Lepisosteus oculatus: one gene and its partner. The protein of the gene in region 2 interacts with the protein of the main gene of each other region in a pairwise test. Links are inferred from orthologs where the notes say so. Each region holds a gene or a part of one and is shown on either strand. Other genes may lie near its edges. The genes, in order: sox14 and naif1.

Region 1 (12,274 bases), on a different chromosome or scaffold from region 2:
CTCATTTATATTTGTCATCAACAGAGTTGAACAACAGAGGGTCTACTATGAAATGGACATGCTTATTGCACACGTGGTCACTGCTGGAATCACCATCAACTGTACATCTGCAGCACCAGGTGCTATACACCAGGTTGCAGATACTGTGTTGTGAGACTGCCCAGTTCCTGTTATACAGTCTGGGCAAGCATGTGCCTCTTCACTGGTGTCTGAATGGTAGATTTCATATGTTGTCTCAGCTCAACTCAAGAATGTTCATTGAGGCTCCTGTTCATTGATTAGGGTATCCACAGCAGAAAATATCACATTCTCATCTCACAATACAAGCACAAGAAGCACAAGGACGTGCTTCCTGCTTTACTGCTTCACTGGTGAACCCATCTGGTGTATTGCTTATATTACCTCATTCTGTAGTGTTGATGAACATTGGTTGGTGATGGACCACTGTGTGTATTCCTTCTCTTTAAAAATTGGCTATTTAGCTGCTTCCTCACAGTTGAACTGCTCAGGTATGGACTATTATGACCTGGTGCTTCTGAAGCAGTGGAAATGGCAGTGCAGAAATGAGCATCAAGATGGAACTGTTATGTCATTAACATCACGCCCCCAGAGGACTCATCGCCCTCAGTCAACACCCTCCCATTGCTCCTGTGTTTCTCTGCAAGACTCCTAGTTTTACGGACTCCAACCTCGGCTTGTTTTCTGACAACGTCTCTTGGTTCTTGATTTGATTGTAGTGGATTCTTCTGCCTTTTGACCCTGGCCTGGACTTTGGACTTGCAAATTTGGATTAGTGTCTACAAGAAAATTTACGTTCACAGGATTCTGCATAGGGTCCTTAGACACAAGATCGTTACAGGAGCATAATGATGCATCAGTCCTGACCTGGTGTCATGACTCATGGTCTCCTTGGTCATGACCTATTATTAATAGATTGTGTTTGGCTAGAATATCTTGCCAGGTAAGAAGTTCCTGGTTCTGATAACCCCAAACAATGAGCAACACAATGCTACATTTGTCCATTTTCCAAAATATTGATAGTACAAAGGCACTGTCCTCATATGTGGGACATATCCCTTTCTTCCTGTTTTTATATCTTTGTTTCTTCCGGCTTTGATTTTCATTAAGCTGAACCTCCCCTCTGTGCCCAATCAATTCTCTCTCAAGTTCTAGTGCTTATTCAATCATCAACCTCACTCACGTGTATCACAGCCAATCACAAATAAATTAGTAATTAAGAATAGTGCCAAAAACGAATTATCAATATATGCACGGAGCTATATGTTTCTTTTGATGCTCAATTTAAAAGTAGGAATGAGAATTGTAGTCCATATTCTGTAACATCACTCAGTATTTAAATCAATAAAAGATGGTAAATATGACACACCTTGTTCACTTGTGTCTTACAGTCTTATACACATTGTTGGCTTAGTGACACCAGAGAGAGCACTCACACAGTCTGGTCCAGTTACACATTTTATTGCAGTGGTAGCATGAAAGGATGAAAGGGAAACCACAGAGATCTCTAAGCCTCCTTCTCTCTTTGATAAAGCATTCTTAGCAAGTTTTCTGATCATTTAAAGGTGAGCATGGCCATCAATACTCATCCCAAACACGAAAAGACTAAATGCATCTTTCTGTGGCACAATGCTGGACCTGGTTCCTATTCCAGATAACAGCAGGGATCTTTCACATCTTGTTTATTATTGTGGTGCAAAATGCGAGTTAACTCTAGAGGTTCAAAAACAACATGAAGTAAACCACCTTAGAGTATATGTGTCAGACATTGCCAAAAGAAGAAAAGAGTCAGCCTTCCAGCTCAAAAGCAAAGCATATTCATGACTGTTATCAGGCTGTTTTTTTCCAACCAGTGCTTTGAACTGTTCATTCTGTTGTATGTACAAGGCTGTGTTGTTGCTTATGGTTACATTTCCAACATCCTATATCTTGTTTCTTGGGTTTTGTCCAGTTGCTCTATTCTGGTGAAACAAAAATAGCCTGTTGGATGCTATCCTTAATTGTTGACCTAATACTATGCAAACGTTTGTGTTCAAGTGTCTTTTTGGAGTGCTGTGAGGTTTTATTAGTCATGGAAAGTAAGTTATTGACCTTTATAATAGGCATAAAAAGCTGTTCAACTTTCAAAGATTGTACTGAGCATTCGGGCTCATAGCAAATATGCTGTTTTTTTTCTTATTAGAGAATGTGCACCCGTTAACGTTAGTTTGAAATAAAATCCATAAATCCTTTTATATTTTAAAATGTAATTTATTATTTCATGCAAAATCACAACCATTTCAGAGTCCACTACTTTTCATTTTAGATTTAAACTGAAGCGACTCTACACTTGACCCAGATAGCACGTACATTACACGTGGATAGTTTAGTAAAATAAGTGTTTCGGATAACCAACAGACATAAAATTCGATGGCTGGAGTCCTACTTGTCCCTAAAGTTTCAGGTCATTTATGTAACAAAGTTAAAGACATATTAACCTTACCGGACCATTACGTCAGTACATTGTCAGTACAGTAATGGTTAGGGGCTGCAGACTCCAGCCTGGAGGCCTGTGGGTTCAAGTCCTGTGCTGGGCGCTTTGTTGCGTCTTTGAGTGAGGCAGACAGTTCTACTGCATAAACGAGTCTCCAAATCGCCATTGCAACTGAGACTTTGATCATAATTGAGTTCCCCGGTGAAGTTAAGTAGTATACAGAAGAGAAACCTTTAGTTTTCTTCCACTGCAGAAACATATTTGAATTATGTTTCTAGGTCGAAACTTTACCGTTATTTTTCGTGACAGTAGTTTGCAACTGATAAAACACAAATCAGAAATAAGAGTAAACAATATATTGGCATCAAGAACGGATGAAAGGGCATTTTATTTTGTGTGGGCGTATGTGTTCTATATATGAAAACATTAAACACATTTATTTAAAAAAAACGCTTGTGTTATAACACTCTTATAACTGCAACGATCGCAGCCTAACTCGGTTAGAAAATAGCAGTTTTGAACCTGTATTAATAGTCATACAGAAAGAAACAATAAATTATGTTAATCCCGTATGATGTAAAACAGCACATTTCATATCTGATTCTGAATAAATACTCAAATACACCATCATAACCAAACACATTTTATACATTTATAATGTTCTTGTAAGCTTATATCTGGAAGCAGGGCTACAATAAAGTTTTGAGCATCAAATTATGCGTTTAGCCTCTTTTCATTACTCGAAAAATATACTCTAAGACCTGGAGTTCAAATGAGTTCTCAGAGTCCTTCATTTTCCAAAATATAGGCCTACCATAAACTATTTTCTTTATTCAGACGCTTGCGAAATAACAAAACATCATTTAAAAGTACATTTAAATCCACTCATAGACTGATAGCACATACTTTACAGGGAAGTCGGTCCCAATTTTACGCGCTCCATCTAAAATCCACTCCGAAACCGAGGTTTACCACATTCAACGAAGACTGACTCTGAAATGTTGGCTGAACTCCCTCGTTTGTACCATAGACAGGTGTTCAACAAATCAATACTGAGGATATATATACTAATATATTGAGGATATTTATGCCTTTTTAGTGCTTTACAATCATGTTAGTAATAATAAGTTGCTTTGTAAGAATGTATTTTTCCACCTTAATTGGAATAAAGAAAACCCTATCACATTTCCCCTAACACTCTTAAATAGCATTATTATGCACTAATGACGTGACACTATTAATAGTGAACAATGCCCGTCTGTCACTCTCACAATATTCCGTCTGTATCCGTGGATGTATACTATTGCAACATCAATTTAATAAATACCATTATTTATTCTTTGCTGTTTGGGGTTCTGCTTATATTGCATTTAATGGTTATATAGAAGACACCACTGTCAGGGTTGTTGTAATGAAAGGCTTTCTCTGTGAAGCACAAATAAAATATTTTCCTTCCAGTTGTAAATTCCGCGATGTTATGGATTGTGTAGGGGGCAACCCCTTCCAGAGGAAAGGTGCTAATCTAGGTATTGTTGGGAAGAAAAAAACGTAACGCGTTAATAAAACCTAGTCTTTGCCGCTTGCCTTTCCCCGACAAAACGAACACTTTTCATCCTGTGAAACTGCCACGGTTACAACACGTGGAGACGTTACCTCTTGACTTTCGTTTCCTTCCGCTACTGTTAAGCGATTTAGTTCACACAAAAATACGAAGTTTATACATTAGAAGCAATTTGCAAGTTGAAACCGAAACAGGGAAAGTGGTTATACTGTATGAATCTGCGTGGTGTTCTGTGCTATAGCCTTTTAATACTGATTATCCTATCCCGTTTCTCTTGCTTTCATCGATTTCAAAAGCTTCTGTACGCTTCCTGATGCGGTATCTTGTAACAGTGACGGTATATTAGAATGTCACATCGCATCAGTACCTCAAGCTTAAATAAAATAATGGAGTGCTGTAGGATTGCTAGACTGGCACACTGTTAACAACAGCAAGAATCCTAGAAATGCACACCATTTAGCTATCTGTGACGGTCGTCTTGAAAACACAAAGTCCTTCTTTATGTGTTTCTGTGCGTATACGTACCCACTTGGTTTGTTCATACATTTTACCAGGGATCTCGATTTACAACACATAGTCTATTGTATACGTACCTGTGTGTTCCCAAATTCCGAATCCAGGTCTAGCATTAGTTTACAGCTGACGAGTTTTTGAAATGGCCTTATCGCCCTATGTTTAGACGCAATTAATGCCTTTCAAAAGTCGTTTTAACAACCATCGCTTATTATCACTGTATTATGTAGTGGGGCATAAGTCAATTAATTAAGGATAAAAAGGCAATATTTTAATGAACTCCTAATGCTCAATAAAAAGTTAAAATTGTGAATGAGAAGCGTATGAAACTGATATGAGTAGTATTCGTCTGTTTCCCCCCACTTGATTTTTCATCATCTAAAGACTGAGATGTATGATAGCACCTCTATTGAGCTGAAATACAGGCAGCGTGCCTTAAATCGAAAAAGCAGGTGTGTTTTAAGTTAAAGCACTGGATTTGAGAGCTTCTTTGATTTTGTGTGTGTGCATATATTTCATTGGACTATCTGTTTATTCCAAATATAGAGGATGGGTAACCTTGAGTACCACATCACTTTTGTTTCCTCCACTCTTTCACTTCTGCCACCTTTTCACTTCCTGATTTTCCCTTTTCATTTACTGACGCTTACTTACCACTTAATTACGGGTTTCGCATTCTCAGCTAATTCGGTGCGCCGAGCCTCTTTTCATGTAAATATAGACGTTGTCTGCTGGAATGTGATGTGCCCTGATAATTCTTGTTAATTCCTGCCGTAATTTATATTGTCGCAATTATAACGCTTTGATGTTCTCGGAATTTCGAGCTGCGTTGCTTACAAAACGCTGGGGAAAAGAGACGACGTTTAAAAAAGTAGAAATATTACAGGAACGAAAAAGGAAAGTAAAACGGGAAAAAAAATCAGATCTGCTCAGGTTCTGTAATCTAATACTTCTATAGAGACTCTAAAGAACAATAGTGAAGATAATTTGAATGTTGATTTTGTTCTAAGTGTACAACTGAAGAAAGAACAGGAATACTTAATATCTTACCCCCCCCTCCGTAAATTTGAATATTTATGGAAAAAACAATTCACTGGCATCAACTTCTCCTTTTCTAGGGAAAAAAAACATCTGAAACATCCCGTGTTACATTATAATACTTAATGCATTTTATTGTGAAGCCAAAATTCTAAACGAACTTAACAGTTTCTTGTTTAATTTTCATTCTCTCTGACTTAACCTTCGTGACCCGATTACAAGCTAAATAAAACGTTTCACCACAGCAGCGAATTACTTCAATTAGCCAAACACATGCTTTAAGTCATTATTTCACGGCTTGTAACAGCAACAACAACAGCACACACAATCAGAATAATAGAAAATGAAAACATACAGCGAGAAAGCCAGCCGTCTCCATAGATGCAGAGCGGAGGGAAAGTAAAAGTTCCCTGGGAGACCAAGCAGGTGAGGCGCCACATCTCAAAAGAGGAATTGAAAGTTCGCAAAATTTGACTTTGTTTTGGGTTAGTGTTTAGGTGGCAGGTACTCTGCAGTCGAGCACAACCTACTGGATTAACTACGGACTTCTCTCCCTCTTCAAAGCATATACTGTACGCTAGCTATGAGGGTTTTACGGGATTTGGATAAAAATGCAACAGCTGTATGTAATAATAGGGGTAAACATAAAAATGTACACCATATCTCATTGTAATATGTTAAAACTTTAAACTAAGGACTAAATTGAAAGGCAATATTTGAATTAATTATATGGTTGTACCCAACGACTGCAAATGTACTGTATAGCATACAAAGAGCGCATTAGTCTTCAAAAGAAAACATTCAAATATACTTTATATAATATGCTATATATATTTATGGTGAAACATATTGCTATTTCACTTATGACTGTGTGTTTTACATTTTATTTCTCATTCAATTTCTTTTAAAATTGTATTTTTTTTATTTTCTGTTTTTATGAATGAAATACCTAAGTGATTTTTTTAAAACGACACACATTTAATATTTTCAGTCCTTGTTCATATTTCAGCTTCGTGCCAGACTCATTTTATCAGGGATCACTTATACATTTCACTTAATAATCACAACTGAGCGAGTCATACATCAACCTCGTTTTGCCTGCGGGTCACTGAAGCAGTGATCTGTTTGAACAGACGAATTTGCATGTTGTAACTATTATTACGTGCTATCCTCTTTTGGGGAAGCACACTCGCGTACTAAATAGCTAAAAATCTAAATTGCAAGACCATTGCCAGATGATAGGTGTGTCACATTGTACTTGGGACATATGTTAAAACGGGACAGTAAAAAATAAACAATGATTCGTATGGAATTAGAAACCATTGTGGGACAAACTAGGTGTACCGACGTAATGTATTTTAAAACGGCACCACAATCATAAAAGATCATTCAGAATTCCCCTTTTAACATTCCACATTGTCACATTTACTGTAAATGTTATCATACTTCATTTGTTGTTGTTGTTGTTGTTTTTAGTTTTGAAACATTGCAAACAGCACAATTGTATCTTCCACGTTTAGTTTTCGATTCTTGGGGGCTCAGAACGCGACCATTAAATCAGAATCCAGGCATGTTCTACACGAGGTCGTTGTGTACTGAGATTAGTGCTGCAAAAACAGGTGCAAAAAATGAAAGCTTTAACCAGCTACGTCCCAAAGGAATTCTGGACAATTGTTCTCATTTAATACACATTTCCCTTCAGGGGATTGTCACATTAGACAGACTATTATTTATTGAATTGAGCTCTTGCTAGTTGATTTCCTAGACTGCTAATAATATTTAGAATGTGGTTTCATCGTTTTGAAGTGTAGAACTAATTTCCTCGAGTAATGTTTGGTAAATATTTGGTCAAAATATTCGACACTATGAATTTCCACATATACGAACAGTATATAAAGATAACGGTTTCAAACTGTAGAAAAGGGTGTCTAAAGTCGGCTTCTAGTTGTATTTTCAGTGACAACATTTTGCATTGGTATTAGAAACGGTAATGTTTTGTAAGCAAATATGTAAAACGGACTTTTGAATTCTTTGGTTAAGTCGTTTGCATAGACTGGGATTCAGAGAGGTTCGTTTGCCGCTATCTCCTTAGGATTTGTACCCTTAAAACCCTGGTTTTATTGCAAGAAGGCTGAAGGGCTATGTTTGTACCATTTTGAGTAAATGGATTCGGGCAGGGAAAAAAAGTAACCCTTTTTTTTCCTCCCCAATCTTTGTTTATGTAGTAATATACATATTTTTTGTAAAGGTATTACGTCTCTCTCTCCGTGCTGATTGGGCGCCCAGGTTGGTAAGTGAACGCCCTGCGATTATGTCAGATTGCGTGCAGACCAAACCAGCCCAGCCTTTGAACTTCACCGCTTTTGGCTCTCATTCACCAGCTTTTCCTCATTTCCAAGCCAGGTGCTTTGCAAGGCGAGACACCTCCAAGAAAAATACAAACAGTTTAAGCCTAATCGCCATCGGAACTCGCATCACCTTGGTGGATCTTGCATATGTACGGCTACCATACATTGCCACTGAAGTACAGAACCCATTTTTTTTTCAAGAAGAAAATATTTATTCTCGTGTTGATTACTGGAGAATCGGCCCCTGGATTTTTTATTCTTCTTCGTTTTTTAGCCTTTTTTCCACTCATCTGAGAACTGGTATGATCAGTTACGATCTACGGGACAGGTGAACTGATTTCCTGCTTGGTGAACTAACTTCTGTTGTTCTTATAAAAGGGGATAAAAAAAGGACGGTATTTAAAATGTCAAAGCCTGTAGATCACATTAAAAGACCCATGAATGCCTTCATGGTTTGGTCCCGGGGCCAAAGGAGGAAAATGGCACAGGAAAACCCCAAAATGCACAATTCGGAAATCAGCAAAAGACTCGGAGCCGAATGGAAACTGCTTTCGGAATCTGAAAAGCGACCTTACATCGACGAGGCGAAGAGACTGAGAGCGCAGCACATGAAAGAACACCCAGATTACAAGTACAGACCTAGACGCAAACCCAAGAATTTGCTGAAGAAAGACAGGTATGTCTTTCCCTTACCCTACCTCGGGGACACGGATCATTTGAAAGGACTCCCGGTCTCGGCCACAGACTCCCTTTTGGGTTCATCAGAAAAAGCCAGGGCGTTCCTCCCACCGACTTCAGCGCCTTACTCCTTTCTCGACCCCAGCCAGTTCAGCTCCAGTGCCATTCAGAAGATGGCAGAGGTGCCCCACACTTTGACCACCAGCACTTTGCCCTACGCCTCCTCCTTAGGATACCAGAACGGCGCTTTCGGCAGTTTGAGCTGCCCCAGTCAGCACACTCACACCCACCCGTCACCCACAAACCCGGGTTACGTGGTTCCCTGTAACTGTACCGCCTGGTCAGCGTCTAGTTTACAGCCCCCAGTTGCCTACATACTTTTCCCAGGTATGACCAAGACTGGAATAGACCCCTACTCTTCAGCCCACGCCGCTGCTATGTAACATTAAGCCAGATTTATTTCTGAAACTTGAATACTACAATGCATGTAAATAAAAGACTGTGAGAAAAAAAAAAACTTAAAGAAATGAATGACCAATCACTAACTGAAGCCGTGGACTTCTGTTTTAAAGAAAACGAACAAAAAACTTTTTATGATTATTAACAGGACGCTTCTACAAAGACCTCAGCACGGAACTTGGAATAGCTATAAGGCAGGCGCCCCGAGAACTGTAAGAATTGTAAATGTTAAAACGTTTATTGCTGGCTACCGAAATAAAAAGGCGGCCTTTAAGTTTATTTATTATGTACATTTTGATGCTATAATAACTGTTTTGTTTTAATGATTAATATTATAATTATTTCCAAAACATTTTTGGTTTGCACAGTTCAGAAGTACCATTTTCATGTAAAAATATAATAATATCTTGACACAGAATTTTTTGAATCACAAGTGTCAAAAATAGGAGTTCTGAATTTTTAAAAAAATATGCGGAATATATTGTTTATATTTATGGAACAGGCACAATAAATTAGATTGTTTATTTAAAATATCCAATGAAAAAAGTCAGTCCTTATGCTTTTTTATTTTATTTTTTACTTTTTTGTGGTCCAGTGCAAATAGTCACACGTTACATTTAATTTTAGAGAGCACTTCAAATATGAAGTCAGGCAGTTTAATGTTGTATTTTTTAACTAAAATGGTAATTTAATCATGTTAAAGTATGTCATGGAAAGAAAAAAAAATGTATCCAGAAGGATGTTACCTCGTATCTCTGTTCATTTGACGGGCACAGACGTTTTGAATAAAGACAATCTGTCTTCAAAAATATAAAATATGTTGTATGATTATATATTGCAAATATTACTTATAATTTAGTTGCGTGTGTTAGAAAAAAAACCGATTTGGACACATCCCCTGCATCCAAAAATGAATCCTGGTGGCATTTGGCCTACTGCTCAAACTTCATAAGATTAAGATTTTTCTCCGTGTTACAAACTGAGGGATGCTTGTGTTAAAGACAAGTGCACGAACATAAGAGGGATATATAATTGACACGTTGTGAAACTTCTGAAGAGCTTGTTTTTCACTCAATTTTATCTTTTAGTCCGTGTGACCTGGAGTTGAATCTCAAACTCGTGCCAAAGATACAAGGTGAACTATGGTTTAAGATGCGATGTTTTTCTAGTTTAATACTATATTAAATACCACAGGCTTATGTTTTGTTTACTTAAGAGTGCAATTCAGTTTTCTTCTGAATATTAGTCTTGTTACGTGTTTTTATCTTTATGTAGTGAAATTGCTCTAAATCTGTCGTTGGTGTATTTGTGGATACGCTTCTTTGGGAAATACACTTGCTTGCGATTCGGTGTGAAAAGGCTACAGCGTTGAAGCGTAGCAAGGAAATAAAGGCAGCTTAACCATGTTGTGCTAGACAATTAGTAGTGTTTGAAAAACTGTTAGCAGGGATCATTTATCAGCCCGGTTGTTAAAGGAAGCTGGGGCTTTTCATTAAAGAGAGTAGCAGTTGTCCATCTGGTTCCACTGAATTGCAATGTGATCCGTCTTGTCTGCGCAACGTTTCCAGAAGTGTAGTAGCGAGACTGTCAGAAAAATGGCACAACACAATTAACAAACACGGGACCCGGTAACATAATAGAAGCCTCAAAATACGAGCGGATGAATTAAAGATCAGGCTGGGACAAACAAAAGAGGGAAAATCAGTTTAGAGAGTGGGGGTGGTTAGAAAGCTTATCCACGCTGTTTTAGCTTCACAAAACACTTCACACAGAAGGACAATTAGTGAAAAGAGTGACTCGAGCAGCATTCAAAGGTGAACAATTATCGCTTTTGCTTTGGCGCAGCTTTCGAGTTAATTTCTTAAACGGAGTAGGGCGGAGTGCATCTAGGGCGCTTCGAGAAAAAGTGAACGAACCGGGCTTTGATAATAGATGCACTGGGAAGGTCAGCAACAAAGAGCCGCGGCCCACCTGATGTAACTCGGACTGACATTTGCTGTCACCTCTTATCCGGTTTTGCGTGTGTCCATGTCAGACAGGTCTACTCCATTTAAGCTTTGCAAAACAAAAATAAATATCAATAGTAGTGAGATTGGGCAAGACTGCGAATAGTCCCTTTACATATGCTTCCCATTAAGAATAAAAAGCAAATGTATAGTATTGATCGCGTATGCTACATTTGAAGAAACTGAGAATTTCATGCTTTTAGTTACTGCTGAACATTTAATGTTTCAGGTATAACTTGATTCTAGTTCTCAGGCTACATACCCTTTCGTACTTAATTAAACAAGTGAAGCACATACCAAGAAAAGGAAAACGTGTTTAGTTGTAGCTCTTAATTTCCCCTTTGGTCGCATGGAGTCACGAATCATTTTAATCACTGCTGAATTGTTGTTTGCCGTTTGAGGTGCGTATTTCACGTGGCTTGTAATTTTGCAGTTTTGCCATGTTCATTTTTATTTCGCAGACAAAGGTTCGCAGACCTGTTTGTAATCTGGTTCCTAAAACCTGGTCTCTGCCTTCAGTTGTGCAAGCAATGTTATTCAATCATCGTGACACTGAAGTGAAACGATTACTACGTTTGATATCCAAACGTGTAGGAGAGCGCTTCCCTCGAGGGCATTTCTTCTTGTCCGACCTGTTTGACAGCACCTTGTCTGTCTTTCAGAGGAAAATCATTAAAACGCACGAGATGCTTGTCTGTACTTAGACAACATTTCTTAACTTCAGCTGTGCAGACGGGCACGTGAAGGTCTGTACGGGTTGAGGAGAGGTTGTAGCTGAAAACCACAGCAATTGTTTTTATCTTATTATTATCGCCCCAATTGTAACGTGTGCCCTGCGAGCTGTTACTGGTTCCAATGATTTTGATCACGAAATGCGCAACGTTATAAATGTTATCTTCAATAAGAAAAAAACATACAACTACTTTTTAAGAAGCAGAGGCTGTAGCATTTTAAGCTGGTTTTCCTTTAGCGTCGCTTAAAAAAAGAACTGCTAGCATTGCAGTTAGTGAAACTATTACAGAACTGAGTTGTTTTGCTATACAGGCATGGTGATTTTCTTATACATAATGGAACTGGGAAAGGTGATCTATAAGCTACCAAGCAGGCAATTAGTTTGAACTTAGTTGTAGTCTAATTTGCTTTACTTTGTAGAAGAACTGATAAGTTCTAAATCCTCATG
Region 2 (12,082 bases):
ATATATATTATATGCATTATTATATAATATAGTATATGCATTATTATATAATATAGTATATGCATATAAATATTTAACATTATAATGCCCCCCCCCGCGTGGCAATACATTCACAAAATTAAAATCAGTGAGGGTGGATGAATTCAAGTCAAAGATGATAACGAATACTGTGATGTCATGTTATCATTGTCCTGGGAAGACTGCATCTGTGAGGAGCCTGTCAGGGGATTCAGACCGACCCGTGGCGCCCAGACTCGCGGCCCAGTAAAATAACATCGACAGGCCAGGAGCACGTCTGCAGCTCTCGATCCGGAAACCTTGTGAAACGCTAAAAATAAAGGTTTAAACATAACGTTGGGGAGCCACGTGAAAGAGAGGGGGAGAAACTTTGTATAGAGCGCCACCTGCTGTCTGAATTAAGTCATATCCGTTCGTATCACGAAGCGGGCTGATGCTCAGAGGTGGATGGGTGCCATACTCACTAAACAGTACTTTCCATTGTCTTACTCGGATTCAAAGTCGTACAGCTGCCAAATAATACCGTGTTATGATAATAAGACTTATATTTGGGTGGAAAGTGATATCCTCTTAATCGTTTGTCTAATTTACCAGGCACTCAGACTGGGGCTTTTCAAACGTAGGTGTGTAGCTAATCACGCAGATCCAGCACACAATGAAAGAATATCCCCATTAGCACTCGCGTTCAAATTGCTGAAGCACACTTGTAATCTTGGCACGTACAAACAGACTGTACAAATCACACAGCTGAGCAGTCACAGCCAACAATGTTTTCAGTAACTCCATGGACAGGGCTCTCAAACTGAGCTCCTGGGAGGCCTGTTGTCGTCTGGTTCTGTTCCAGCCCCGTCCTCAGCTACAGAGGTGGTCTGATTTTTTATTTCACTGCGCGACTGGAATACATCTACCCAGGCTCTGAGGTAATTTGTATGTAACTATCCTTTTAATGAAAGGATCACATATCTATAATTTCTTCATCTTGAACTGTCATGCCTTGAAATCCAGAGTTTGAGGTGGGCAGGACGACTGTGTAAAGCCAGGCTGTGTGTGTGTGTGTGTTCTCAGCAGAAAGAAAGCTCTCCCAGTGCTGAGAAGGAGGTCCAGGTCTCACAGTGTCAAAGTGCAGAAACTGCAGGGACTAAAATCATATTATTACAAGGGCATCCATAAGCTGGCTCAACAAAGTGTATCTCATATCATGGCAGTCATGTAGAAGGCTGGCTTTTTAACCCAGGGAGCAGAGATGCTGCAATAAAACTGTAGAATTCCACGGTCCGTGGGCAGAGTTACCTTCAACATTGCAGAACCCCAGAGACAGATCAAAATCGTGAGTTCATGTAAAAAAAAAAAAAAAAAAAAAAAAAAAAAGGACAGTGTAACAGGAGGCATCATTTTTTTATTGGAGAAGGAAAAAAAAAAGGGAAAACGAAACAAGAGTCGATAAGACGCCCGACTGAATGCATTCCTCCCTCTTCTCACTTCCGCAGGGATAAAAAATAAAAATACAAAGGGGGGAAGGCAGTAATAAAAAGAACTAGGCAAGTGCTGAAATAACAGTTCAAGCCAAGATGAGCTGAGTGTTGTCCCAGATTTAATAAAACCCTGACAACGACCCCCCCAGCCCCAAAGCCCCCCCGCGCCGGCGTGACGGACCCGGACACACACTACACGGGGCGGGATGCCACGGGCCACACCGTGTCTCTTTCCGCACGGCGCTCCTGAAGAACTGCCATCTGGCCAGACACCGCCAGGGGGAGCTCCTGCACAACAAATCACCCCGGACACGGTCAGACATGGTCAGACACGGTCGCCTGTCTGTATTCGGCCCCCGTTCCCAGCACGCCCACAGGGGTCTGGGGTAGTGTAAGAGAGGTCTGTCATGATCTACACCTCTTCCTTTGTACCGGCTTTCCGAGAGAAAGATGCCCGTCATCAGGCTGGGCTTATTTGAGGTCCGCACAGGTCTCAGCGAGTGAATACCGTTCACCATTGCTGAACTGCATTTGAAAAAAACAAAACTTGTGAAATTGCAACTCTCACTCACGTACAGCTGACAGCTACACTTAATACCCTCCCCACCCCCACCGAAACGAAAGCCCACACCAGGATGAGGGTGGCTCCCACAGGGCAGTTAGGTCCAACCGCGTGCGCCAAGCCTGGTGTTCCCCTCGTCCTCGGCCAGGCTGGGGCTTGCACAGAGGCGCGAAGGTCGATTTCCAGATGCCCTCCAGCCAGGGGGCTGCGCAACCAGCGCACCGCTCATACAGCGCGATGCATCTTGGTGCTCGCTGGAGGAACAAAAAAAAGTCCGGAATCCCTATTAACTTTTCAATAAATGCACTACAGAGCACCGCCTCGGCGCCGCAACCGGCAATTTTTCTCTTTGTTCGCGAACGAACGAGAGTCTGGCCCCGCCTGGCCCGCCCAGGCCCGCGATGGGGTCCTACTGCGCGTCCTCCTCCGGCGCCGGGGGCCTTGGTTTGGGCTCGCCGGAGTCTGTGCCGGGCCCCGGGGCCGGGCTGCCGCCGGAGCTCTGCAGGAACTTGCGGAAGTCCTTCAGCGCTGGGCGCAGCATCTGAATGAGGGCGATGAGCGCGGCCTGCGTGCCCTCCAGCGCCTGGGCCTGGCGCTCCTGGGCGCAGGCCTGCGCCTCCTGCGAGCGGCGGATCATCTGCAGCAGGTCGTTCTGGGTCTCCAGGTGCTGCGCGATCTCCCGCACGTGCAGGTTGGTCACCTTCTGCTCCTGCAGCAGCTTGGCCGAGTTGAGGGCGATGCGGCTCTTCAGCTCCTGGGGCTTGATGGCGCACTCGGCCTGGGCCGAGATCATCTCCACCGGGGTCTCCGTCGCCACGGCGGCGGGGGCTTCGGTCGTGCAGTACTCCACCACCCCTTCCTCCAGCGCGTGGTAGGTGGTCTCGGCTGCCGGCGTGAAGAAGCAACAGACAAACACTGAGAAGGCTCTGGAGTCTGGCCATCGCAGGGCACACACACTCACAAACTCCACACACACTCACACACAGACAGCACCCCAGGAACTGAACCCAGGACCTCAGGGCTACAACACACACAGACACACAGACACACAGACACACAGACACACAGACACACAGACACACAGACACACAGACACACAGACACACAGACGGGTCAATTTGGGGACCATGTGGGGAGAACATACAAACTCCACACCGACAGCACCCCAGGAACTGAACCCCGGACCTCGGGGCAGCAGCACAGGGATGCTCACCACTACACCTGTGTGCCACCCAGGGCTCAACACGGTCCTGCAGTGGAATGTATTCCTTCTGAACACATTATTCTGGACTAACGCACAAGATCTGCGCTGGACTCTCCGCGCAAAAACTTCAACTCCATCCAGGAGCTCCAGGTTTAGTATTATCCAATGCCAGTAGGTCAGGAAACAAGAATACTTAAATAACAAAGACATTTAATTTGAATGTACTCATTTTACACAAAAGGACCACATTAGTACTTTTTTTTTTCCCCCATTTTGAGCATGGCAATAATCGAATCCTTGAGCTGTCCACGTCTGCGTCAGCTGGCCGGCCTGCGGCCCCGCGACCTCGCGCTCACCGTACAGAGGGGCCACCTGGCTTCTCGGGAATGGCTCAGGTGTAAAAACAACTCTTAAGAAAAATGTTTTACCTTCTAGCGCTTTCTGTACTTCACAAGCTGCCGAAGAGGAAGCCGTCTGAATGTCTGCAAGTTAAAAATAAAGACGGTGAGTCCCTGCCTCGCTGAGAGACCCTGCAGGGCCTGGCCTGCTCCCTGCAGCACTGTACTGGTGCAGCAGAGCACACTGGGCACCCTGCACCTCTGCTGCGCGGTCACCGGCTCACCCAGTACATCCGCTCTGAAAGCAGGAGCCAGAGGAAGCCAGCAGGTGGAACATGAAGAAAAGTGCATCTGAAACTGGGAACAGGAAGCACATCTTCGCTTTTTATTTTGACTCATGAGGGGAGTCAGCTTAACTCCTTGTGACACATGGATTTCCTGAGCACCTCACAAAACTACCATCATTAGGGAGCAAACATCCTTGAATTAGAGGCCACAACACATAAACCCGACTACAGTTCTACCCAGAACAGAGAAGTGTTCGTCTGCGGTGCGTTTATCCCGAAGCTCAGCCTCCTTAGCGTCACCGCCGCCCAGACGCTGGTCTGTGCAGCCTGATAACTGTACACGTGTAATCTGAACCGCGCATCTATTAATAGCGCGACTCATATGAGTCTCAGACTGTGACACAGGTGCGATTTTGAAGACGGCATCCAATCGCAAAAGGCCCCACCTACTGACACATGAAAGAAATCACGAGGAGGCGTGAGACTGTTTGTCTCCCAGGCAGTTAACTCGGCTGCTTTATTTACTCTGCAAAAGCCGAGTCCGGCGCCTAGACGTTTGAGGCTGATGTTGCAGTGCAATGAAAAAGACGTCTCCTCTAGGCTGGGAAAACGTGAACGAGCTCGACTTTCGAGACGTGCTAACGCCAGTGCAGAACAGCGTTGTAACCGTGCGCTTCTTATTGCGTGTATTTTTTCTTTTTTTAACTAACATTTTCAAAAGCCACTTCTATAGCTGTTCCTGTTCGCGTTGTTAGCCATCTCCGGCAATGCACAGCTCTGTATATTCTCTGAGTGACCGGGTATGAAAGGGATGTCTCTCTCCCCGTGCACTGACGGAGCCGGTGTTCACGGCGCACTTACTCTGGGTCAGAGTCACTGTGGTGGCCGAGCTCATGGGCACGGGCACCGTGATCTCCGTGCCCCCGTCCCCCGCAGGTAGGCTGATGATGGTCGCCTCCCCCAGCAGGTTGCAGATGCGCTGCTGCATGGAGGTGAGGATCACCGGCACCGAGGTGCAGTCGCCGGACCCCTCCATCGCCGCCCGCGCCTGGGCCACCTTCCGCCGGACCTCGGTCTTCAGGTCCGACCACTTCTTCTTGACCTCGGCCAGCTCCCGCAGGCAGGTCGTCACGGCGTTCACCCGCTTCAGGATCTCGACCCACGCGTTGTTCTTGGTGATGTGTGTGACACCGGCATTGAAGTGGTTAACCAGGACGTGCTTCTGTTTCTCCATCTCCTCCACTATAATCTCCACCTCCCGCTCCGAGAAATTCATTTTCCTCTTCTTGGCCTGAGATGCCATTTTATTAGAAATTCTTCTTTTTTTAAGAATAATGTACGTAATGTGCGTAGAAACCGTGGGATTTACTCTATAGATCTGCGCAGCGTAATGGCTTCCAGAATCGACTTCTTCCTCTTGCAGGCAACGTTTACGTCCGTAATGGCTCGGGCCCCGCCCATCTCCGCACGCCGCGGTTTCATTGGTTGGGGCCCGGGGGGCTCCCCCTCGGTTCCCTTCAGCGATTCGCACGCCAGCCTGTCAATCACAGGAAGCGTAGGCGCCATTGAGGCCCCGTTGAGCAGACGAGCACTCGGGGAGCAGGGAGTGTGCAGTCTGGGCGCTGTGTGGAGAAGCGGTCGGAAAGGCATTTTAAGCCGACTGCTGTTTATTTTTTGTACGCAAAGTTTTTTTTTATATAACAATCTCTGTACCGCATCTAATCGCGGCGGCTTTCGAAACCTGTGTGGGATTTTTTTCGGTCTGTAAAATAACCTTGTAAAAAATAAAAAAAAAGGCTTCGTGAGTTGTCCCCCCCGCCCCCATCTCCGTTGATGCTACTAAATTATACGCATCTTTGCGGATATTTAAACTAACGGGAGTGATCCGCTTTAAAGACAGCTTTTCATTTTGCTAAAGGTTGTAGTTGCTCTTGGCGGTTTTAATTCTGCACAGCCCTGGTTGTAATGGGTAACTGAGCGTGTAGCCTCTGTTTGCTTTTATAAATGGGTTTCACGTTGTACGTTACTTCAAATACAAATATTGAAAAATAGTGTTAAATGTTTACGCCTAGGAAAATATGTCCTTTAACTTTGTAATTTATTCTCAGGTTATCAAATATGATCTTACCTTCTAATATCCACTTACACTGTATCTCTGTACCAACTTGTTTTGCAAGAAGAGATTTTTATCATCTAACAAACCTCCGGCTGCTTTCATCTTTCTACTGTTTACAGCTACAGCCTCCACCCAGTGAGGAAGTTATTGCACAGATGCCTCTAAACTCTGAAAGTTTGTTTGTAAACAGCCATCGCCTTTGCTGGAGAAAAAACTCCCCAAGATAATCTGAACTGTTCACTTTGCACGAATGGTGAATGCTGAAACGTTTTAAAACCAGCAGAAACTCCACTGTCATAAATGTTTTTATTTTTAAAGAGACTGGGCACGGGGGTTGGTTTATTTTTGGTTATTAAATTCGACATCTCGAAATGCTCATGTGCCTCTTTGTGCTCTGTGAGAGAGGTTACAGATGAATGGAAAAGCCAAGAAAAATCTTCTGGACACATTTCCTAATTTAGGATGATTTGCACAAAAAAAAACAGCACTGCAGGTTACATCATATAAGTAGTATTTCTTACACAAAACACCTACTTCTGCTACTCGCCTGGAGAAGGAGGCAGGGCTACAGCGCAGAGCCGGTGATAATCTGCACTGCTCCCTGCGATTTTGTAGAATTTCTGCCAATAGATGCAGATTTTCATGTTTGCAAATCATACTAAACCAAATTTCAGAGCATGACAAAAGTACACAGAAACATAAAATCTTAAATCTATGAGAGTTTCTGATTCCTAATATGCTCACAAAACCATCTGAAAATGTTGATCCTCTATAAGCGGTGAGTAGATCTTGAACAGCTTGTGGCTCTGGACTGTGTTGAGGAGTACAGTGTGTCGGTCTGAAGTGCGTGTTCCACTGGTTTTCACTGTCTGACCGGAAGGTGTCACAGGGGGTGAGCAGGTCAGCCCTGTCCATCATTGGAACATTTTTACAACTCGCTGTCTCAGGAAGGCTGGAAGTATCGTTAAGCACACCAGTCATCCTGGTTTCTCACTTTTCTCCCCCTTCCCTCTGGTCAGCGTTGTAGGAACATAAAGGCACAAACCTCTAGATTCAGAGAGAGTTTCTTCCCACAAGCTGTCAGATTACCGAACTCCACCCCTTCCCCTGGCTCACACGGATGTGTTTTTATCACGCTGCTTGTCTGACTTTTTTTAAGCTGATGTTATTTAACTTGTGGTTGCTGCTGCTGTTCTGTGTTTTAAGTTTGGTGCTTACTTGATGTCTATGTATCAGAGCAGACATGCAAATAAGCATTTCATTGCACTTGAGCGCATGAGAAGTACACTGAACTGAGCTCGGAACTGGGACCTGTGGGTTGCCTTAGCTGGGGAAGGTGAAGGACATCTGGCTGACCATCCTCTAACCAGATCTATATTTCTTGCCACTGAGAACTGATCTGTTTTTCTGGGGTTCCTTTACCTTGGCCAAGTGATCTTGTTAGTTATCTGTCCGTATCCCTGACTATATGGCAGTCAGTGCTGTCACACCAAGGACAACAGTTGTATGTCTTGCAGCCTTATAAAAAGCTCTGTTTCGGGGGCAGCAGTGCAAACACAGAAGGTGAGCCTGTGCTGTTTGAGGGGTGGGGGTTCCCCAATACTTTTAAGAGTAAAGTATTGTGCAATGATTTTATTCGCCCTCCTCTCTACGTGCAACTATCTTTACTCCAGCCCAAGGCTAGGAATGTGCTTCTTAGACTTTCAACACCCTTGTAAAATGTGATTTAAAAAGACTTGCCTCACTGTTTACTTAAATTCAATGTTGAGGGGCTTATCTTACAAGAGTAAATGACCTTTGAAACACAAATTGTAGTGTGGGGTGTCTTTTCACATTAAGAGAGGACTAGACTAGGTCTTCATTTGGTCCTGTAGATATGCATCCAGGATTCACTCTCGTAATACAACTGATGGATGCATGCTGGTATTACAGCACAAGATGGGTTCCTGCAGAACACAAGCAGTTCCATCTTGTCGGGTAGGTTTTCAGGAGCATCAACGCACCATGTCTTCAAAGACCCCAGCGAGCTGAATTCAGCAGCGCGGTGGGGGGTAGTTCCTGACATCCACTTTTAATACCCTTGGGCTGATTTTATCAGCACACTTGAGAACCCACGGTGATTAAATCGCGGTTGCAATGCTGTTTAAAATTAAATTAAGTCCGAAATCCCGTCAGACGTTTTCACTAATTGATGTGTATTTTTTCTTATTCATGTGCGCCATCTGACTTCTTTTTTTTCTATCGCTCTTCACTCTTGCGATTCGAGGAATCAGCCTTACGCTGCAATCCCAAAAATTGCATCATGTTACACAATGAAGGCGTCATTTCTTTGCAGCAGGCGACAGAGAAAAACCGGCGTCACCATAAGCTATTTTGCAACATTGTGATTGGAATGCCTAGTACACGCAATACCTAGAGTCTTTTTGTTTCCCCCACAGTTACAAGTGAAACTCTTGAAGAGGGTCTATGCAAGCACAGTTGTCTCGGCCGTGTGACAAAAACGTGCTTTGGTAAGGAGAGGGGCGGGGCGTGTGGCCTCCGGAGGAGGACACGGGGGAGGGCGATTGGCTGCGAGGCCCGTCGATCCGCGCCGGGCCCCGCCCACCCCGCCGGCAGCCGGTGACTCACTTCCTGAATCCGGCCTCCACTCACCGGCGTCTGTCGGCCGTCTCAGCTGTCAGGACCCAGAGCCAAGCCCGCCCGGACCCGTCCCGCACACAGACCCGGCCCTCGGGAGCGGAGCTGCCAGTCCTGGGAGGGAAACGGACCGATCGGAGCAGATCGGGGCCCGAGTCCGAGTGTGTAATTGAGGAGGAGCAGAGACCGCTGTCCCGGAGCCCACACTCCGCCCGCTGGGGCAGAGGGGAGATTCAGACTGGGATTTCCGAAACTGTGCAGCAATTATTCCCTTTCTCTCCATCCTCCTCCTCCTTTTTTTAAGGTTCATTCATTTATTTATTTTTTATTTATTTTAAAACAAGTCCTCACGCGTCCGGCGTTGAGCCAGAAACGGTAGCGAAGCCAACAGGACGGGAAAGAAAGGAGGGAAAAAGAAGAAACATCTGTCTGTAGAGACCCCAGAGCGATGGAGCAGCACAGGCCGGTGCTCGGCGGCGTCTTCTGCCAGTGCGACCCGGTGGATCCCGGACCCGGTTCGGGACCCGGCTCGGACCCCGGCGGCGGGGCGGGCACCCCCCGCCCGCCCCGGCCCCCGGAGCCGCCGGCCGGGCCCGAGCCGGAACCGAGCCCGAACCCGAACCCCGGCGGCTGGGACCCGGAGCACGAGCACGAGCGCGAGCACCGCCTGAAGGTCCTGTTCCAGATCCTGGACGTGAACCAGGACGGCGGCATCTGCGTGAACGACCTCACCATCGGGCTCCCGAGGCTGGGCGTGCACCGCACCGAGAAGGAGCTCAGGGTGAGTGGAGCGGGGGTCCGAGCGGGGGTCCGCTGGGGGCGGGACGGGCCTCCGGTCCGAGCGGGGGCAGGCTGACTCGCACGTGTGTGTCCGTCGGCTCGGCGCCAGGCTGCCCGGCCGCCAGGCTCGCTGGGTCTGAGGTTTACTTTACCGTCGTCTCTCGCCCGGTTCGGTTCCGAGCAAAACGCAGTCTCCCGCAAACACCCTCTCGAAGAAGTTGTCGATCTGCCGCGGGTTTAATACACCCGAGGAGAAGCGGTCGCGGTGGTCTCGCACGGTCTAGGGTAAAAGTTTAGACAATTTTATAAATGCAACAACTATTATAAGGATGATAATATCGCGACAGAGGTATATGCGGTTGGGAGATGCCAACATGTCGCACGTTTTAAGACGGCTACACAGGTGTTTTCTGTGTAGTGGTCTTCCAAAGCACTGGAATGTGTCACGAAACAGGAATGACTTGTTGCCAATAACTCCTATGCTCGGAGAAGCCGGTGGCGATCAGGGCTAGAGCTGTTCGGAGTGTGTGTGCTTTACTGGTGACATTGGTCTGGTCTGGAGTGTCAGTGTGTGGACGTGTTGCAGGGGGGGATGTCTCTGATGTGTCCTGTGGTGGGACAGCGCTCTGTCCCACAGCAGCTGCAGGAAGGAAAGAAGCTTCACCAAAGACTGCATGTCAACAGTCCCAGTTACTCAGAAGTAAGGGCTACATTCTTAAATGTTGTTTATAGTCTTAGTGAGGATGGGCAGCTGTTATTTAGGAATCGGAGTGCTCGGGTGAAGTGGCACTATAACGTAGGGCTGTCTCACTTTGTGTGGTCTGCACACCGATATCGGCACATAACAGACCTGAAACGATGCAGTCAGATATCCGCCTCAAGATCAAATACATTGGCTGAGGTAAACGGGTCTTCCCCGGTCTAGATGTGCTGACAAGTTGGAAGAGCTGCAGAGCTCTCTCTGCGGGCGTCCAGAGCTGGAAACCGGGGTCAGCTCCAGTCCCGTCTGGTAGATTTCACCCCGGACTTCATCGGATTCCTGGATTCCTGAATCCCAGGGCCAAGTGCGAATGAGTCGCCGGGGCTCGAGCTGTGTGAGGAATCGGAGCTCCTCAGTGACCGGCAGCCCTGAAGGACACGTGAGAGCACAAGGACACCAGCTCCTGTCCTACTGGACACTGGACCTGAGCAACAGAGTGTCTCTGAAGAAGCTCAGGGCCCAGCCGGACTGCCAGAACCCTCATATCCTCATATACTCTCTGATACTGTATGACTTTATTAGATATAGCACCTTTAAAAGGTTCTTTTCAAAGCCTTTTTAATGCGATTACAAATGTTTGAAGAACAATATGCTGTGTCGGGTGGTGTGTAAGCGATTTTATGAACGTAAACGCGGGCCTGTCGTTGTGGAGGCTGAAGAAACACACGTGCGCTTCCCCTAAGGACAAACCTCATCGTGGGTCGTGACCTCTCGTGACCTCTCGTGAGGTCGCCCCCGCGGGATTGTACAGCCCTTGAGAAAGAGATGTGTGCTCGCTGCAGGAAGGAAGCAGCGGCAGAGGAGTGCCGATCTGCACGCATACGCAGAGGGGCTGCAGGAGAGGGGTCTCTGCTTTCTTTCTCTTGCTGTCTGCTGAGCAGCTGAGTGGCAGGCCGCACCTCTGAATGTGAAGCGTCCGTTCGCGATCATGAATCACTTCCCGTCACCCTCAGGAATGCAGACTGCTGGTGAGCAGTTTAATCCCCTCAGCCCACCTGAGCGTCCTGACCAGTTAGCGAAGGTGTTGAATCCTGTGTTGCTGAGTGTGGAGGACCCCACTCTGACAGCGAAGGTGTTGAATTGCCGTTCGTGAGCAGGGGTGAGTCTCTGAATATGAGTGGCTGCTTTCGCCCTCTCGTGGCTCCGAGGTCTGCCAGTTTCTCTCGGTTGACTGTCCTGTGCGGTGTGGTATGATTCCAGTGTGTTCTGACTCCGGGCTGTGGTGTGCAGCCAGCCGCGGTCCAGCAGGGAGCGAGGTTGGGTGCGGATGAGTCTTGTGATTCACTGGGCTTAATGCAGTCACACTCACAATTACAGGCTTCTCGAAAACTGGCTGGAGCAGGGGATTTACATGACAATGACAATTACAGTATCATTTTTTTTCGTGGAATTATGCTTTTGTGCTTTCTTTTTAATTAGGGGTGTCAAGGCCTCTCAAGAATTTAGACCAGAAATCCGATTCCACTGGGAAAGTCTGCTGGGTTAGCAAACCTTTGTCTGTTTGACAGGAGATCCTGTCAAACGGGGGGCACAGGGGTTAGCGTTTCCGCCTCGCAGCGCCGGGGCCCAGGTTTCGGTTCTGGCCCTGGGGTGCTGTCTGTGTGGAGTCTGTATGTTCTCCCCTGGTTCAAGCGCGTTTCCTCCCACAGTCCAGAAACATGCTGCCAGGTTAGTTGGCATCCCGTCCTGGCACTCGGCTTGCCCTGGATTGGATGCAGCAGCTAGAAAACGGACAAGCGATCCATACTTGTGCCATTGGAAGGAAAGGAGAATAAAACTCAGTTCAAGCTTTGTTTGTGCCGTTGACCGTCTGGGTTTAAGTCTGACCGGCTGCCCCCTGTGAATAACGGGCCGGGTGTGCTCCCTGGAAGTATCGACTCTGTCTTTGAGAAGTTGTTTAACGCTCCT

The links.
Region 1: the proteins of naif1 (region 2) and sox14 interact in binary tests that used the Homo sapiens proteins (3 or more experiments, as listed by UniProt). The two-hybrid records come from large-scale screens. The link is inferred for Lepisosteus oculatus from reciprocal best matches to the Homo sapiens genes NAIF1 and SOX14.

The regions. Positions count from the first base shown.
Region 1 is NC_090708.1:12,130,558-12,142,831, forward strand, and holds sox14 (transcription factor Sox-14), read left to right. Parts: upstream 1-7,961; 5' UTR 7,962-8,355; coding exon 8,356-9,072; 3' UTR 9,073-9,904; downstream 9,905-12,274. UniProt on the Homo sapiens protein: Acts as a negative regulator of transcription.
Region 2 is NC_090719.1:15,240,002-15,252,083, reverse strand, and holds naif1 (nuclear apoptosis-inducing factor 1), read right to left. Parts: upstream 5,308-12,082; 5' UTR 5,185-5,307; coding exon 4,743-5,184; intron 3,739-4,742; coding exon 3,685-3,738; intron 2,938-3,684; coding exon 2,462-2,937; 3' UTR 1,398-2,461; downstream 1-1,397. Other genes in the region: calcium-binding mitochondrial carrier protein SCaMC-2-B, read left to right, coding at 9,083-9,415. UniProt on the Homo sapiens protein: Induces apoptosis.